Callithrix jacchus: one gene and its partner. The protein of the gene in region 2 interacts with the protein of the main gene of each other region in a biochemical or structural test. Links are inferred from orthologs where the notes say so. Each region holds a gene or a part of one and is shown on either strand. Other genes may lie near its edges.

What was found.
Region 1: of the proteins of COIL (region 2) and VRK1, one has a biochemical effect on the other in vitro, tested with the Homo sapiens proteins (2 studies listed by BioGRID and IntAct, with this or other methods). The link is inferred for Callithrix jacchus from reciprocal best matches to the Homo sapiens genes COIL and VRK1.

Annotation. Positions count from the first base shown.
Region 1 is NC_133509.1:131,688,032-131,691,856, reverse strand, and holds part of VRK1 (serine/threonine-protein kinase VRK1), read right to left. Parts: intron 1,179-3,825; coding exon 1,070-1,178; intron 936-1,069; coding exon 843-935; intron 1-842. UniProt on the Homo sapiens protein: Serine/threonine kinase involved in the regulation of key cellular processes including the cell cycle, nuclear condensation, transcription regulation, and DNA damage response.
Region 2 is NC_133506.1:109,392,415-109,396,239, reverse strand, and holds part of COIL (coilin), read right to left. Parts: intron 3,814-3,825; coding exon 3,730-3,813; intron 3,177-3,729; coding exon 3,129-3,176; intron 125-3,128; coding exon 55-124; intron 1-54. UniProt on the Homo sapiens protein: Component of nuclear coiled bodies, also known as Cajal bodies or CBs, which are involved in the modification and assembly of nucleoplasmic snRNPs.

The DNA of each region.
Region 1 (3,825 bases), on a different chromosome or scaffold from region 2:
GAAAAACTAAGCAAAGGCAGTTAAAGGTAAATTTGAGAGAAAGAATGAAGTACAGCTACTGACAAATAATTACAATACAAACACATTACTTCCTTGGGCCTCAATTTCCACCCAAACACATTTAAAATGTTCAAATCTTCCTTTTTGTATAAGATCAAGTAAGAAGTGAGAACACGCATTAAGTATGAACATCAACTAAACCTTAATTTCACTGAAATCACAGAAACAGCTATACAGGAAAATTGTATAGATCCCTCTATTCCAACTAAACTGACCTAAATAAAGGTATATTATTATAAGCTTTTCTCCTTTCCTTAGAAAGTAAAAATTACAAAGGGAATGTAAAAGCTAAAAAAAATGCACATTTGAATTCCAAACACTAAGGGTATACAAATTTAGACAGCTAAGATATTTCTGTAAACCAATTGATTTGAATAATCAACATGTTAAAGACCAAATTTTCCAAGTAATAGAACACTTACATTTGATGGATTTCTTGAACAAAGGAATAAAAAAAAGTGACAAAGCAGACAGGCAAACATAATTCATTGGTGTACTATATAATTTTAAGCTTCCACCCCCAAATAGCTATTTGAAATTCATTTTGTACCACAAGCACTTCTTCTGAATATTATTTAGGGCAAAATAGCCAACTTGATAAAGTGCCAACAAATCACATCAAAAATGTAGAATGTTAACTAGATCAAAGTGTCAAGAAGAAATATTATTACCACATCTACTTCAAAAAGTAAAACTTCTACATAGGTTCAAAAGTTCAAAGCAACCATATTTATTTTCAAACAACATGTTTTAAATAGTAGAAATTAAAGTTATAAAACTACCTGGTCAGGATTCCTGTAGCTCAGAAGAAGATTTGAGGCCTTGATATCTCCATGCACATACTCATGCTCGTGAATATATTCCAGAATATCTAGCTATAAAGTATCACACAGAATAAGTTAATGCAGTACCTAACACCAACCAGCAGAGGACCAAGCTTCAACATAAACTAGCCTTTACTGTATTAAAAACAATTTTTTAAAAAATAAGAAAAACGTAGCTCACATACAATTCTTAAGCTTAGCTGCAAGACAGTTTTCCGAGAAAACCTTTTGGCATTCGCTTCATATATTTTCTGAAGGTCACTCCCAAAGCGATCCATTATCATAAACCTGTAACTGAAGACAAATATGAAAAGCCAATGAACAAAATACAAATCGAGAAAACCAACTTTGCAATGAGTACTCTCAAAGAAATTTTTTTCAAGACAATGTTTAGTAAGGAAGTGTTTTTTAAAAAAGAAATACAAACATTTGCAACAATTTCTCCCAACTAGAAATCTCAAGAGTTCAGAGTGCTTTCAGGTCCTGCTTTTTACCTGGAGGGCCTCTTCCTGGTCTCAGCTAATTACAGGAGAGTATTATTCAATTTAAGATAATGTTCACACAGAGAACCCAAAAGTTTTATTCACAGTAAAAATAAAATAAGCTGAATAAACATGACAGCCATGATTTTTCTCATAGTTAAAATTAATTAATGTTTCTGGATATCAGCTTCCTTCCTGTGACTGTTTCTCTCTATTTTTAAGGTAACAACATTCTGCTAAAAACCAAGATTCTCGTGAGATGCTTTAACAAGAGCTAGATTCAGTAAAATTGTTTAAATGGTGTAAAAGGACTGCACATTAAACATTCAATAGCCTAGATCTGGGGAAAAATGAAAATCCTGGGAAAATGTGAAGATAACTGGTTTGCCATAAAGCAGTTATGTCACCTCGGCCAAGTCACATTACTTCCCTGGGCCTCAATTTCCACAGAAGTAAAATGAGAAAACAGGGACTCGCCCTTTCTAAGGGCACTTCCAGCACCCAAAACTCAGATTCAATGATCATATATTGTATTTTAGTATCTACAGAAAAGCATCACCTATTTGCAGTAACACTGCTCAGCTTCTGCTCTGAAGATCACTTTTATCTTCAACAGTTTTCCAGATTCTAACTTGTCTGCTTAAATCATTCAGTAAATCAATAAAAACCAAAACCACACTCAGAATGTATCAGGACATCTTCCAATGAGGAAGGCTATACATCATCAACACCATAACACCTAGCATTTACTGAACACCTGTTATGAGCACAGCGCTACTGTAAGTACTTAAAAGGTCATTAGGCCATTTAAACCTCACATCTATAAGAAGGCAGATCACTCCTATCAGCCCCATTTTACAGCAGAAGAAAACTGTAAGTAATTTGTCCTCTAGTATGTGACAAATCATGCTTTTAACCACTGCACTACATATACTTAAATAAAGGTCAGGAGGATACAAAACCCCCATTTATATGTTGTAGGCTTCTATGATAGCAATGTGACAAGTTCAACAGGGAGGGAAGAGTTAAACTAACATTAAAAGACAAGATTCTGAACAAAAAAAAACTTAGAACTCTATTCATTTTTGAACTGGAAGGAAATTAGAAAATCATCTTTTCTAAACATCCTTTAATAAATAAAATAACTGAGGTCTTTGGAGGTGAAGTGACTTGTCCAAAGTTATAAAGTTAGTCAGCGGCAAAATACATTCATTCATGTAAGATTTTCTAGTACGCTGGCTTGTAAGATAATAAAGGTGAAAATGGCAACTTTGAGTTCCTGGTTTCCTTTGTATAACAGATTTTGAAAGGTTGAGAGATGAGACCAGGGCACATATACATGTTGGCTTTTACTAAATAGGTGATGTGTATAATAATTATAATATAGGTTGAGCATCCCAAATCTGAAAATCTGAAGTCAGAAATGCTCTAAAATTATAAAATTTTTTAGTGCCAACACGATGCTCAAAGGAAATGCTCACTGGAGCGTTTCGGATTTCCCATTTTCAGATTTGGAATACTCAACCAGTAGGTATTAATGCAAATACTACAAAATCCTGACGAAATCCCAAATCTAATATATTTCTGGTGCCAACATTTCAGGTAAGAGATACTTAACTTGTAATACACAGGTAACAAAAACACAACCTCTGTAACAGTCTGAAAGAGGGCTAAAACACAATTGCTTAATTCCACATGGGTCTATTAATAAATTCTACTATGTAGGTCTTTGTTTTTATTCACAAATCACCCCACCACCATTCTAATTAAGCCCTTAATCTCTTCACCATACCTAAATTATAAACATCAACTGAAAAACACGATTCCACAAATTTCATAGAACCATTACCACATTCTTCTGGAAAGATACCTCTGCCGTTGAGTAATAAAATGAAAGTTATTTCTAAGTAACTATTTTAAAGTAAAACCTTTGATGTATACTTTTCTGGAGACTTGGATAAAACACCCAAGTTTAAAATATATATATATATATACACATATATATATATATCAGTATAATTTAATAATGATAGCAGCTAACATTGTTCCAAGCCATACATACATATTAATTCCAGTGAGTTACAAGAAAAACGAAGGCTGTCTGGCAAGGGAGGGGGCTGGAAGAATAATCTGCTTTCTATTTATTTACTTCTGTAAAACCTATAATGATTCTTTTTAAGAGCTTCAACCTAAAGAGTAAATCAATGCCTGACATATGATTAATGCTATCTTTTTAAAGGAGACATTTCTAGCAACCTCATTTTATAGAAGAAATGGAGTGGGTAAAGTCACTAGTAAATGGTGACTCAAGACTCAGACTGTGTTCTGGTTGGTCACCACACTCTAAGGCACTTCTGATCCACACCAGGGAAGTTCTTTCCAGCAGTGCCCTCGTCAGTCAGCTTACAGACTCAGTCTTTGACCCACTTAGTCCCTGGTCACCTCACGGGAGTCACACA
Region 2 (3,825 bases):
TACTGTATAGATAGAAAGAGCCTATATTTTCAAATTCTTTTCTAAAAGACTCACCAGGTAAGGATGAAAGAATTTCTATATCTACTTGCTGGGTCTCTGGATTGTGGCTTAATATTTTTCCTTCCTTTCAAAAATAAAAGTCCAAGTCAAAAATCAACATGTAAAACATTGTGAATATACTAAAAACCACTGAATTGTAGACTTTAAAATGGTTAAAATGTTGATTTTTATGTTATGTGAATTTTATCTCAATTTTAAAGTTTAAAAATAAATCCACATATAGAGAAAATAAAAACAGGTGGACTGATAAACACTCTACATGAATATACAGAAACATCCTTAGAGGCAAAATAGATATTAAATCATAAATGGCAGACACTAACTTAAATAACTCGATGAAAGTAAAGATTACACTAAGGAACCAAAAGTGACTGAATAAAGGAAAAGGAGGAAAAATCACGCCAGGACGATATAGTCAAGTGACTAGACGCAGTGGCTCACGCCTATAATCCCAGCACTCTGGGAGGCGGGTGGATCACAAGGTCAAGAGATCAAGGCCATCCTGGTCAACATGGTGAAACCCCGTCTCTACTGAAAACACAAAAATTAGCTGGGCATGGTGGCACACGCCTGTAGTCCCAGCTACTCAGGAGGCTGAGGCAGGAGATTGCTTGAACCCAGGAGGCATAGGTTGCGGTGAGCCAAGATCACGCCATTGCACACCAGCCTGGTTAACAAGAGCAAAACTCCATCTCAAAAAAAAAAACAACAAAAAACAAAAAACAAGTGACTATCGCAGTCAACTGACCATCAAAGCATTCATCAGGAGAGACTAGATAAACCCTAATGGTGCTGCCTTGGTTCCCGATGTTTTTAGTACCTTTTTTTTTTAATAAAGATGGGGTTTCACCATGCTGGTCAGGCTGGTCTTGAACTCCCGACCTCAGGTGATCCGCCTGCCTTGGCCTCCAAAGTGCTTGGATTACAGGTGTGAGCCACCATGCCCAGCCTTTAGTACCCTTCTAAAACAGATCATAATCCCTCCAAGAGAAACTAGAAAGCACTTAATCACTGATAAGATCCCAATTCCCTTTCTTCAGGTGTGGAAGCTGATTTTCTAATGCATCAAGAGGAGACACTGCCCATGCATGTGGGCAATGAGGAGACACATGGTAGCCTCTAGGGGTACAGACCAAAGTCAACCAACTAGTTCCTCCTGCTTCTACGTAGAATTTTGGAGCACAGTCAACAATGCTTTTTTTAAAACCAGACTCAACAGGGAGTCAGGGGCTTGGGAGACTACATTTTTGAGGACAGAATTTAACTAATTTAACTTTTAGAGACAGGCTTATGAATAAAGCAAATGATCAAGCCGGATAACTGTGTTTAAGGTCAAAGCAAAAAAGTAGGACCAATTTTTATTCTTAAAATAATTTTGACAGCAATTTCAAAAATCTTCAACAAATTATGGGAACTAAAGTTGGCAAATCGCCTTTCAATGTTAATAACTATGATGACTATGATGACTAATACCAATTTAATATGCAATATATATATATTTTTAAGAGTCCTGTTCTTTTACCCAGGCTGGAGTGTAGTGGCATGATCTTCAGCTCACTGCAACTTCCACCTACTGGGTTCAAGCAATTCTTCTGCCTTAATCTCCCGAGTAGCTAGAGCTACAGGTGCATGCCACCAAACCAGCCTAATTTTTGTATTTTTAGTAGAGATGGGGTTTTGTCATTTTAGCCAGGCTGGTCTTGAACTCCTGACCTCAAGTGATCTGCCCATCCTGGCCTTCCAAAGTGCTAGGATTACAGATGTGTGCCACTGCATCTAGTCGTTAATATGCAATTTTTAAAAATCAGCATGATCTAGACAATTTATAGAGGTTGTGGGATGTATCAATACAATATTAATTTCTATTTTCTCATATATCACACAATTAAATTAGTAATCTGTGGTAGGGTGACAAGACACCCTAGTGTGTTCAAGACAGGTCTGTATATATCTTTCCAGCATAATTATTAATAGCACTCCCTTTCACTCACAAGTATCCTGACTTAAGTGATATATTATATGATCACCTCATCCATGAGATAGTGAGGGCCTAAGAAGATAAAAATCAGAACACCAACGACCTAGAGCTAACCTACCAGATCCCTTCATTAACCGATTCTTCTAGCCTGCTTTTGAGGAAAGGTTTTACAAAGATGTTAAAAGTCTTCCAAGGCATCAATCCAGATTAAATCAAATTCCCTTGTGTTTTATCTTTGTTCCTATATTAACACTACCAATTATTACCTTAAAAACCGTCTTACATGCCGTATAGTACAACAAAAAAAGAAAGTACGCATTTTAACAAGATTTTCAACAAAATTTTTGTGGGTGAAAAAGGAGAGAAACATATAATTCTGTGACCTCACTGACTAAGCTTTTACTGAACCATGAAAAGCCTCACATGCCAACGTAAAGACTCATACAGATATGAAGTAAGTAAATTCCATGGGTAATATTTATGAACTCTCTGTGGTTAACTGATAATGCAAAAGAAATCATACTAGATCATAATAACCAGAATTCACAAATATGTCAAATAGATTCCCATGATGAAAATAATCAAGCTTCTTGCTGAGAACTATTTATTTTCTTTTAAAGTTTAGAATCATGAAGGAATGAATACCCAAGTAAGTTTGTGTCTCTAAAACTAATTAGAAAAAAGTAACTAAAAAAATTAACTGGCTGGGCATGGTGGCTCACGCCCATAATCCCAGCACTTTGGGAAGCTGAGATGGGAGGGATCATTTGAGCCCAGGAGTTTGAGACCAACCTGGACAACACAGCGAGATCCCATCTCTATTTAAAACAAAAAATTAATATTTTTATAAAAAGTAAAAATTAATCACACCATTCTCCTACTATATTCTTTCCAAGTACCAGGAAAACAACACTGGGAGACTCCACAGTGATACTATTAAAAAGTTAACATTTTGTTATAATGTTTTCATATTCTACTTTCTGGCATTATTTAGTAAAAACTAAATCTGTATTATCCATACAAGTAGTACTAAATATGACTTTAGTTTTATTAATATACTGACAACTTGCTTTTAAATAAACATCCTTACCTTGTAGTCAGAGACATCAGGAGAGTAACTGGATGTTAGTTCCAAAAGCTAAAAAAGAAAAAGCCCACAAATACATAAGCCCTCTTTTTTTTTTTTTTTTTTTTTTTTTTTTTGAGTCAGAATCTTGCTCTGTCACCAGGCTGGAGCACAGTGGAGCAATCTCGGCTCACTGCAACTTCCGCCTCTTGGGTACAAGCGATTCTCCTGCCTCAGCCTCCTGAGTAGCTGGGATTACAGACACCTGCCACCAGCTAATTTTTGTATTTTTAGTAGAGACAGGGTTTCACCATGTTGGCCAGGATGCTCTCCATATCTTGACTTCATGATCCGCCCACCTCGGCCTCCCAAAGTGCTGGGATTACAGGCGTGAGCCACCGCACACGGCCATAAGCCATCTTATACTCTCACATTCCCACAGCTCCTCCATCGTGCAATGTTGGGGTATCCACCCCCACCTCTGGCAGCCCTACCATGAACCCATGGTAACACTGGGGTTCCAGCGGGAAGGGCTTTCACAAATACATTTAACCTGATTTGCTAAGTAAGTTTATTTGGAAGTGGTATGAACCTTTTTTGCTGCAACTGTTGTTTTTAAATATACCTTAAATGCAATCTTTTCTCCAACTTGAGGGGCAGCTGCTAACAGTGGTAACAGACTATAGTCCTTGTGTGTGTCCACTGGATTCTGAAAAACAGT